Linked DNA regions of Daphnia pulex. The protein of the gene in region 1 interacts with the protein of each later gene in a pairwise test. Links are inferred from orthologs where the notes say so. Each region holds a gene or a part of one and is shown in the gene's direction. Other genes may lie near its edges.

The links. The genes of interacting proteins can lie anywhere in the genome.
Region 2: the proteins of smoothened homolog (region 1) and serine/threonine-protein kinase fused-like interact in a two-hybrid assay, tested with the Drosophila melanogaster proteins (2 studies listed by BioGRID, with this or other methods). The link is inferred for Daphnia pulex from reciprocal best matches to the Drosophila melanogaster genes smo and fu.

The regions. Positions count from the first base shown.
Region 1 is NC_060027.1:3,198,191-3,203,604, forward strand, and holds the end of smoothened homolog, read left to right. Parts: coding exon 1-110; intron 111-166; coding exon 167-280; intron 281-339; coding exon 340-549; intron 550-617; coding exon 618-790; intron 791-886; coding exon 887-1,005; intron 1,006-1,085; coding exon 1,086-1,186; intron 1,187-1,261; coding exon 1,262-1,584; intron 1,585-2,322; coding exon 2,323-2,511; intron 2,512-2,576; coding exon 2,577-3,839; intron 3,840-3,899; coding exon 3,900-4,254; 3' UTR 4,255-4,640; downstream 4,641-5,414. UniProt on the Drosophila melanogaster protein: Segment polarity protein required for correct patterning of every segment. G protein-coupled receptor which associates with the patched protein (ptc) to transduce the hedgehog (hh) signal through the activation of an inhibitory G-protein.
Region 2 is NC_060025.1:6,991,811-6,997,090, reverse strand, and holds the start of serine/threonine-protein kinase fused-like, read left to right. Parts: upstream 1-1,852; 5' UTR 1,853-2,372; coding exon 2,373-2,483; intron 2,484-2,547; coding exon 2,548-2,661; intron 2,662-2,735; coding exon 2,736-3,058; intron 3,059-3,125; coding exon 3,126-3,367; intron 3,368-3,441; coding exon 3,442-3,544; intron 3,545-3,613; coding exon 3,614-3,739; intron 3,740-3,815; coding exon 3,816-4,095; intron 4,096-4,162; coding exon 4,163-4,545; intron 4,546-4,658; coding exon 4,659-4,768; intron 4,769-4,881; coding exon 4,882-5,064; intron 5,065-5,151; coding exon 5,152-5,236; intron 5,237-5,280. Other genes in the region: E3 ubiquitin-protein ligase lubel-like, read right to left, coding at 8-168, 262-427, 607-612. UniProt on the Drosophila melanogaster protein: Probable serine/threonine-protein kinase; maternally required for correct patterning in the posterior part of each embryonic metamere. May be involved in control of cell division during metamorphosis and ovarian development. May interact with costal-2.

The DNA.
Region 1 (5,414 bases):
TTTGGCAGAACTTGAAAAGTGTTCCCAAATGCTGGGCTGTGATTCAACCCTTTTTGTGTGCTCTCTACATGCCAAGATGTGAAAATGGAACAGTAGAACTTCCTTCTCAGGTACATACAAAATTAGAATAAGTATGTTCAATCACTCAATGACATTTTACTTACAGGAAATGTGCAAGGTTATTCGTAATCCTTGCAGAATTGTGGAACTTGAACACAGGAATGGCTGGCCAGATTTTATGAGATGTGAAGACACTGAAAAATTCCCTTCTGGCTGCAAAGTTTGTAATTATTATGTGCATTCATTTGCTATTACTAACGAAACTTTTTTCTCTTGCAGAATGAGGTGAGAGAATTGAAATTCAACATCACTCCAAAGTGCCAGTCTCCTCTGGTGGAAACGGACAATAGTTTGGCTTATGTTGAAGGAGTTGACGGATGCGGACTGCCTTGCACTTCCCCGCTGTTTACAAAGGAGGAACATGAACAAGTCCAACGATTCACACAGACTCTGGTCGCCATGTGCCTCACCACCAATTTGTTTGCTGTGGTAAGATAATAAACACGTTTAGAATATGGAGATAAATGAATCAATAATCAATCGATTGCTATGTGAAGTTTACGTTCATGATTGACTGGCGCTCCGCTTCACGCTACCCGGCCGTTATTATTTTTTACATGAACGTATGCTTCGCTGCCGCTTGTATCGGTTGGATTGCTCAATATATTCCCAGTGCTAGACAGGATATCATATGCCGGAAAGATGGAACAGCTCGTGTATCAGAACCAAGGTATGATGCCAACTCAGCTTAAGCCGCATTTCAATGTCTGTAGCAATTTTGGTTTTATGCTTTCACGATTTCGTTTGATTTATTTTTTTATTTTAGTGGCGGAGAAACGCTGTCTTGTGTTGTTATATTCATCTTAATCTATTATTTTCTCATGGCTGCTTGTGTTTGGTTTGTCATGCTAGCCTATTCGTGGTTCGTCAGCTTCCAAGCCCTGGGTAGAATTTTAAATTTTTTTTAACTGCCACCCCAAAAAGAATGAAGACAAAACTGAATGTCATCATTGAAATCTCTCTAGGTAAAATCCGTGAGAAAGTCAGCTCCAAAGCTGCTTACTTTCACTTGGTCTCCTGGTCAATCCCTCTGGTCCTTACAATTACATGCATGGCGCTAGCACAGGTTGAGTTTTATTTTAAACAAGGAATTTATGTGTGAACGTATTTGTTGATTTATATTTATTTATTTCCAACGCAGGTCGAAGCACAAAGTCCTCATGGAATTTGTTTCGTGGCCAACAGCAAAGTGGTGCGGTCTGGTTTCGTTCTGGCCCCTGTAATGATCTTGCTTTTCATTGGCCATGTGTTTCTCTACCGCGGTTTGCTTATTTTGATTCGTCTCAAACTGGGCAGCGCTGCCTCAATCTCCGCTTCCGCCAATTCCAAGTTACGCAACACCATCGTTCGACTCGTCTCGTTCTCAGCCTCTATTATCTGTGCTATCGGTTTGTCCATTTTCTGCCATGTTTACGAATTCGATAGACGAACTCAGTGGAAAACTTCCTTCCGCTCCTACATGGTGTAAGTAATTTTTAAAAAATTGTATCTAAGGATCTCCGCTTAAATCATAATACTTTTACTTGTAGTTAAATTAGCTAAGCTTTTCACGTTCCTTATCACTCTTATTTTCATGGGGTATTAATACTGGTTTTTATCATGGCGTCTATATGAGTACGGAATTTAAACTTGCTTTAGGTAGTCCTGGCTATCGCACCCAATTTCAACATGGCCTTGTAGTCTATTTATCCCCATAAAACTAGTGCGCAGCCGCTTTTCTATCCAATAAATTAATAATTCATTTTCAGATGGCACGTTTCTGTGCCACGTGCAGAAATTCGCCAACAACGCTAATAAGAGTTTCCTTCTAAATCCAGATCATTAACTGAAATTGAATTTTCTCTGCCAATCTTTCCTTATAAAAATTCAATTAATTATGAAACCAAACTATTTTTATCCAGACTTTTTTCAATTTGTACTACTACAAAAAAAATAATTATCTTTTCCTTCCCACGAAACGCTTTCATCCCCCCCCCCCCAAACTAATTAGTTCCAGCATATAAATGTCGTTTTATGTGTAGGAGGCTTGTTACCTCGAAACGTTTATAAGCCCCATAATTTCAAAATAGGTATTTTACGCCCCCGTTTTGAAGTAATCAAGTTGAATAATTTACCATTTCCCCTCAAACTTAAAAACAATAATTTTTTAACTAAAAGAAAAATTCATTGTGTTTTTTTCAACGTTCGTATTTGACATTGCAGATGCCTGGCCAATCAAAACACCTCTCGCATTCAGAATCAAGGCCTTGCCGATGACTGTGAATTGGAATCTCGACCGAGCATGACCATCACCCAAGTTCATTTGATTGCCGTCTTTGGAGCTGGTGTAGCCGTATCTTCGTGGGTCTGGACAAAGGCTTCCGTCCTGGCTTGGCGGAGGTGGTACCGAAGGTATACACACTTCTTGTTTACTCCCTGTCGGCTTGTTTGCATGTAAACATCGTTTTTATTTCCAGGACCTTCAACAAGAGACCGTTGGATGAACGCGTTCGCATTCGCAAACATAAAATCATTGCTCAGGCGTTTGCCAAGCGAAGAGATCTGAATCACATGGGCCGGATGTCTATCAGTATCCACAGTACGCACGACGATCCAGTCGGTTTTGGCAACCTTGATCTGAATAGCGCCGCTTCCAATGACGTCAGTTCTGCATGGGCTGCCGCCATTCCCAAATTCGTCACACGCCGTGGCGCTATCGTCGGCGCGGCTGGAGCCTTTGGACTGCGGCGCAATTCGCTGGATTCCGAAATAAGCATGAGCGCCGTCCGGCGTATTTCGGTCGAATCGAGAGCCAGTCAGTCTCGCCGTCACTCATTCGATTCACAATACTCGGTACATTCTCAACAAACGACGGATTTGGAGCGGCTCACTAGACTACACTTCCGCCATGGAGGTCGTAAACGTAATAATTTGCTCCGGGGCGGAAGAAAAATGGCGCTGAGACGCAGGGGAAGTATTACGTCTCAAGCTAGTTCGAAAGGGTCGCAAATATTGCCAGCCATTACTAAACTTGCGCTGAGAAATCGCCGAGGAAGTATCACTTCACTGGCCAGTTCTAAAGGCTCGCAAATCTTGCCGGCCATTACCAAACGTAGAAACCAATTACTTCCTCTTGGATCAGCTGGAGCGAGCACTGTTGTCCAGGTTCAACCCAATGACAAGCGGCAATCATCGCAAGTCGATCTGGAACGAATTGAGCGCTTCTCGCTCAACCTGCCGGGCGACGGAAGTAGCGACGAAAGTGACATCGATAATGGAGAATCATGCAAAGTTACTACGGTCCCTGTCACCCAGTCGACTCAAACTGCCGTGACGTGGAACGTGGCCACACAGACGTCGCCCAGTTTATCGACGCTTCGACCTATTTCTACCAAGAGTGCTAAAACAACAACGCAGTCTGTGTCTAAAGGCACACAGGTGACTTCATCTTCTTCTTCATCGTCACCATCATCCTCGGCATCCACTTCACCGGAAGCCGTCCGTAAATCGCTGCCGAAACCGTCGACATCGGCCCCAACGAACATCTCGAGCTCAAAGTGCCACAGAGAACGAGGTCAAGCCGATGGGTCACCCAATGGAAGCTCATCAGACGTATCGGATCACATATCAGCCAGCGGGCCTGGCCTAAGTTCGCCTTCGCAATCATTGCTCGATTATTTGCTGCCCATCAAATCGGAGAAGAAATCTGATGATCGACAACTCAACGGTTCCAAGAGCAGGTAAATATTTAGCACATTTGCATTCGTTTGCAAAATTGGCGTTGACATTTAAATTTTCAGTGGCAGGTCCAATAGGAACAGAAGCGCCCGCTCTCGCGGGGTCGAAGCAATTGAGTTGGACCGTTCGTCTATCGCCCGCCTTCTTGAAAAACTACGAGAGGAGGACCACAAAGCGGCGGTTGAAGCTGCCAATGCCGTTATCGATTCAGACGAACGTCCTAAACGCTCCTACGACAGGCGTCATCGCGTTGAGCGTAATCGTCGCTCACAATCTGAACGCCACGACGGCAATGAAATTGAATTAGATTGCTTGCTGAGCTCCAAGAATTCGAATCGCTCTGATCGATCCAGAAAATCCGGCAGTCGACGCTCCCGTTCCAAGCAAGAAACAATTGTCAATGACGATGTATCATAATGATCAAATCTTTTCTTAACTCCCTTTTCGGTCTTGACGATTCAACTTTATTTCCTTTTTCCTCTCCCGTATTCCGACATTTTATTTTATTCTTTCCCCATATACCTGAACGTGACAATCGTTGTTACCAACGACCTCCGTTTATTTTTAAAAGTTATGTGACTCAACTTTCTATGTAACTTTTTTTTATCTAAATCCAACAGAGGACGAATCTCATATGCAGCTAAAAATCAATCAATCAGGTAATGTGAGTCCCTTTGTTGCCTTTCAAACTCTGACTTTGGAATTCCATGCATTCTTCCACTTATAGATGGTTTTAACTTTATCGAACCGGATCTCTTCTTGGCAAATAGTGTCAATAAAAAAAAATGTAAGTGCCATTTGAATTGAACTTTGTCGAAACTACTTTTAGAATATCCCAGTGTAACCCAGTAACTTGAAATAGGAACACAATTCGAGCTGCCGATTTTTTCACGGCATAATCAAATGTGCGCGTTCAGCTGAGCTTTTTTAAATCATTCGATTTATACCACGGCTGAGTTGCTGCTAGCTGGAAGCGGAAATGGTGCATCCGCTCCTTTTGGCTACGACAATTTCATTTAGGTATATACTTTTTTTTTCCACGTGTCAAGTTAACGTGCTCTACTACAAGTACGTTGCCTTTGCTTTTGATGAAGTAGCAGCTGCGCACTAGTTTTCTGATGAACATTTTGGACTCATATAAAGGAAGTTTTTTAAATGAGGTGTTTGTCAAGAAGTTCAGTTGAATGGGGAATGTGAATTGACTTTCTATCATGTCTGAGCTACAGGTTAATACTAGTAGTCTATCGAATAATCAGCAGTGGTCTCACGATGAATCGCTCGACATGGATCTCACGATCACCGTTTCATCAGTGCTGTACATTGTCCGTTGGATAGCCGTTAGTTTGGGGTTGCCAATTCACTTACTCGTGGCTTTCGTCATCCTAAGGACTCGCCAACTACACAGTCCTCGGAACGCTTTCTGGCTTGGAATTATTACGTGTCATTTGTCTACTCTTATGATGGCCTCTTTGGAATATTTCGTACAAGTTGGCCAGTGGAAGTACTTTGTTATTTGCAGGACATACATCCTCCTTGTCGATACGCCCTATACAAATCTGCTGGTCAATCTATTGATG
Region 2 (5,280 bases), on another chromosome or scaffold:
GAAGTACTTTTCTAGAATGATTCATTCTTTTAGGGTGTCGATGATACATGTCATCGCAGGATAAGCAAAATATTTGGTTGAGACATTTCTCACACCGAACTTTTGGACTTGAGGATCCACAAAGTTCACAGTGACGTCCATCGCCTTTTCTCGGCTCCATTTTTCCACCTACAACGTGTTGGAAAATACCAAAGTGGATGATTAATAGCTTTTCGTTTGAGCTAACCATTTTGTGCATACAAAAATAAAAATAAATTGTACCAAATCGAATTGAGAACGTAGCTTTATGCCCAGTCCCGTATTCTATGTCTTCGTATTCGTCCTCCAAGGGCGGTGGTTGGGTTGTGGGTAATGGAGGTGGTTCAGCAGATGCAGCGTCGTTGGTAGCAGATGCAGATTTATTTTCGGAACTAGCCGGCGTAATTTGCTAAATAATTCCCACAGCATAGAAACAAAATTAATTTCAAAAAATTAACCAACACCAACTTCCCCCATAAAAACTGACACAAAATTGATTGCAAAGAATTGGTTTAGTTGTTTCGCATCGCAATCAAAAGTATAACTGATGCTGGTGGTCTGAAGTAGTAAATAATAGCGTTGACGTACCCTCATTTCATTTGACACTCACAGGAGACATGGGATAGATTCGACACGAGATAGCCAATTGCGGAAACGGATAAAACGATCCCCACACTCAAAAATCGACTGAAAAATCGTATATAAACTCCCGGAGAGATGGAAAAGGCGGACCGCACGCCGCACTGTGCGATGATGATGTCCGTTCGCCCCGCCGGAATAGACACCAAAGAGCAAAGCAGTGCGACAAACAGGATAGGAATGGGCCGCTGGAATTGTCGGCAATCTGCCAGCGATTCACACGGCACCCCCTGACAAAAAGCAAAATCCCAAAAATATCGTCGAGCTCGTCCTGCTGGTCGTATCTTCCCTGTACCGGGGCAGTTCTCCCCCGTGAGACACCGCCAGCGCGTCAGTGAGAATCAATCTAGACATGCATGAATAGATTTGGCCTTCATTGGAAGGCATTCGGAAGGTGTAGCCAACGGGATTTTAATGGTAAATAACATCATGTAAACACCCGTGCAAACAAAAAAAAAAAAGTTTTATCAACTGAGGTGTACTATAATAGCTAGTAATCGTTCAGTAGATTACAGTAAACTATCAGAAAATATGAAACAAAATAAATAAAGTTTTTACTAGATTAACGTATCGTAAATAATAACAAGTTTGTTTTTTTGCCTGAGCATGCAACTATTTCAATTGCCTAGAGTTGAATGAACTGAATACTTCCTTGTCAATTTACCGAATCAAAAACCCATCCGAGTTCTCGAGATGTAGTTTCGCAGGAACAAAATCAACACTCGCGCTTATTGTGTGTGCCGTGTTTGAATGCAGCTGGCCTTTCTCTCAGACGTCACGGATTTAAACTTTATATATTCCTCTGGAAGAAAGTCAAAAATAGCTTGGCATTCAAGGTTTCCAACTCTGACTGCCGGCGCGTCATTGCCACGGTTATAGGAAGCCACCTCCGTCGTCAGAGACTATTCTGCTACCAAATATTTATCAACAACGATATCCAAATCATTAGCTACACCTCATTTGTCCATGCAAAGCATTTCAAAAGTTTAATCTTGATTAAATACCTACCGGAATTATTCATCTTCTATATTTAATTCTTTGTTTACTCTTATCTTTACACTCTTGTAGCTAAATAAAATATGTTTTTTAAAAAAATAGGGAATCGATAGATTTGTACCATCTCGGTGATGGGAATAACGTAAATTTTCAACACATTCATTTCCGGTTGTTTTACCGGTCTTTGTTGTGTGTTTTTTTTTTTTTTTTTTTTTTAAATTCTCTTCACGCCCATATATCTTCCACCTTCGTAGGGCGTGTAGCATACCGCGTGCGTACTGTCTCTTTTACTGCTTTTCGCGGCTTTTGCACTTTTTGGTCCAGTGCACAGCGCACTGGCTTGTTTAGTTATTTATACTCTTATGGAATTTTCTTATAAATATATCATTGTTATCCCTGTGTTATATGTTCACCACTTCGTCAGATTTAATCATGTCTATCTGGCTCGGGAATCATTTTCATCACCTTGCCAGTTGGCCTTATTCGAAAATACAGCGCCATCTCTGATCCAGATATTTACATGGGAATATTGTTAGTCTAAGCTTCGCTAGATGGCTTCTTTTGTTTATAGACAATTCATTTCTGATTAAAATCCAAGAATCGTAATGATCACTACAATTATATCCATTTCTTAACAGCGGTAAAAGAAGTGACACTGCTTTATTGTGGTTTCTTAACATTCAAATTATCTAATAAATCCGAGTTGAAAGTGCGTTGAAATGGAAGACTATGAGGTATTAGAAAAAATTGGAGAAGGATCTTTTGGAAGAGTTTACAAAGCAAGACATAGACACTTGAGAGGTTTGGTTGCTCTCAAGTTTATTCCAAAAGTAAGTGTTATAAATAAATTCCTTTCCATTTCATTGTAACAAATTCTATACTTTGCGTTTGTAGATTGGTAGGACAGAATGTGAGCTGCAAAGCTTGAGACACGAGTTTGAAATCCAGAAAGGCTTGCGTCACCCAAACATTGTTCACATGCTTGGTGCCTTTGAGACATTTAAAGAGGTAATCAAGAAATTTCACAATTTATTTGTTGTAGTTTTGTGTGTTGATTATTAACGATTTATTTCTCCATCCAGCTAGTTGTTGTCACTGAGTATGTTGAAAGTGACTTGTACAAACTACTGGAAGATGGGACACTCTGTGAAGACAAAATGCGAATGGTTGCTTGCCAGTTGCTATCTGCTCTCTACTACCTTCATTCAGACAGGATATTACACCGTGACATCAAACCTCAGAATATACTGCTGACAAGTGATGGCATCATTAAACTTTGCGATTTTGGATTTGCAAGATCCATGGACCTCAACACTTATGTGCTAACATCTGTCAAAGGAACTCCATTGTACATGGCCCCAGAAATCATAGAGGAAAAGCCATACGATCATAATGCAGATTTATGGTACATTTTTTATTGCAGATATTGTCTCTTCAAAGATTTGTTGATTTACCCTTCATTTTTACAACAGGTCCTTAGGTTGCATTTTGTATGAGCTCCTTTTTGGATCGCCACCCTTTTGCACCACATCTTTATTGCAACTAATACGAAAAATTCGTTACGAAACCGTGCCTTGGCCCACAAATCTGAGCCCAGATTGTTTCAACCTCCTTCAAGGTCTCTTGGAGAAAGATCCTCGCCGCAGGCTAACTTGGCCTCACTTGCTCGAGCATCCTTTCCTGGAGAACAAAGTTCTGCTCCCACCTGAAAGACGTATGTTCAATACAATGTTCCTTTTCTGGTAAAGGTAACAAATTTCACTGATTCCCTCTTTACCTTCTCTCTAGTGAGACCTCAGCTTCCCTTAACGACTGCCTTGACGGCTTCGCAGGAACTGGCCAAAGAGATTCAAAGACAAGATCTCTCCCAAAAGATGCCGTTCAAAAACAAGTGAACATTGTCGTGCTGATTATTTTATCCAATCCTTTAACTGAAATTTATTGGTTGTTCTTTTACAAGGGTTTTCACGCGAGCCCTTCAGAGATTAGAAGAGTACGAACGACGCCGAAATAGCGCTCCAGTTTCTCAGCCCAAACAATTGCTGGCCCATCCCGCCGCCGCCTTCCACAGCACCCAATACAATCCGTACGTCACTTTAAACAGAATTTCTAAAAGTCGCGTTTTTTTTTAAATTTAAAACTTTATCATTTTGGTCGAATAGTGCATTTGGAGACTGGACGCGTCGCCAAAGTGCAGCCGTCGACACCCACCGTTTACCGCCTGCCATCGATCCACGGATCAGTGAGAGGCAGCAATTGCTGGAAAGAATTTTAGAAACGACCAGATGGCCGACCAAACAAAATGTGGCCGATTTCGATCCCCTCGATCCTGGCACCAACGCTCATCATTTCTCCCTCATTCAGCCAGCCGTGCCCAACCCGCCAAACAACCAGCCGACTGTCGAAGAAACTGTTTCACCTTCCATCGAGCCCAAAACGGAGGTAAAAATCGATGTGCAGTCCTATCATAGAAGAAAGGATTGACCAAATGATGATTGATTCATTCTAGGCCAAGGAAACGACAACTGGCGAAGTTGCGGCCGCCGCAACCGCCGCCGCCGGTTCGTTGCTGTCGAAATCTCTGGAAAACGACGAATGGGAAGAGTTTCTTGACGGAACGCTGGCCGACGCCATAGAGAATCCGCAGACGCTGGAGCAGAGGGATCTCGTCGCCGTTGTGGTGGCTCCGTTACGCAACGTCAACGCCAGCCCGAGCCTAGTCGAACGTATAGCGACTCTGCTGGCCCTGCCTTGGGCTGGAATCGACCGCGAGGAATCAGTCGACGAAGAATTAATCGTCCGCGCCTACGCAGACACCCGCGTCGTGCCCAATCTCTTGTACGCTTGCAAAGTAATGGTTCAGAGAAGATCTGGCGATAACCGTAGCACCGGGTAACTCCTCTTTTTGTTTATTTGTCACAGTCTAAATTCCATTTCTCATTCTCCCATGTGATTTCATTTCGTTTTCTATTTTTCTTTTTTTTTTGGGTTGTGCCCAAAAACAGGAGCATCGACAGTAAAAAGACGGACGCCGAATTGACGGCCGACGATCTGCAGTCCTTAGAAATGCTGCTGGGTTTGATGGCCCGTCTGGTGCACCTGAGTACGACCGCAGGTAATCACTCATCGCGAGCTCTTGTGTAACTGGAAACGAAAGTGGGGGTGGCTAATCATTATTTTAATTTTCTATTCCTTCCCTTTTTTTCCCCCCGATTGAATTCACAACAGAATTCATCAATCAATTCTGCGATGCTGTTTGCGTGCTGGATTGCGCGGCCGCCATTCATCACCTGTTGTCTGTCGATCGTCGCAAAGCCCATGCAGTCGGCCACGTTCTGGCCATCCTGTCGCACGTCCTGCGCACTCGAGCCGAGAACGTTAGCGTCGTCCAAGATATTCTCACTCAAAGAGGTATTACATTTCACACAATTGCCTTGAAAAATAAGAAAATGAACGGCTAATCTCACCATCTCTTTCTACCCTTGTGCGACATGACAGACACAAATTTGGTGCGTTTGTTGTCGAATCGAAACCCCATGATTAGGTCCAGGTGTTGTACGCTCATAGGATACCTGTCTCTCAGGTAAGAGAAAAAGAAAAAAAGAAATACAATAAAAATACAACAGC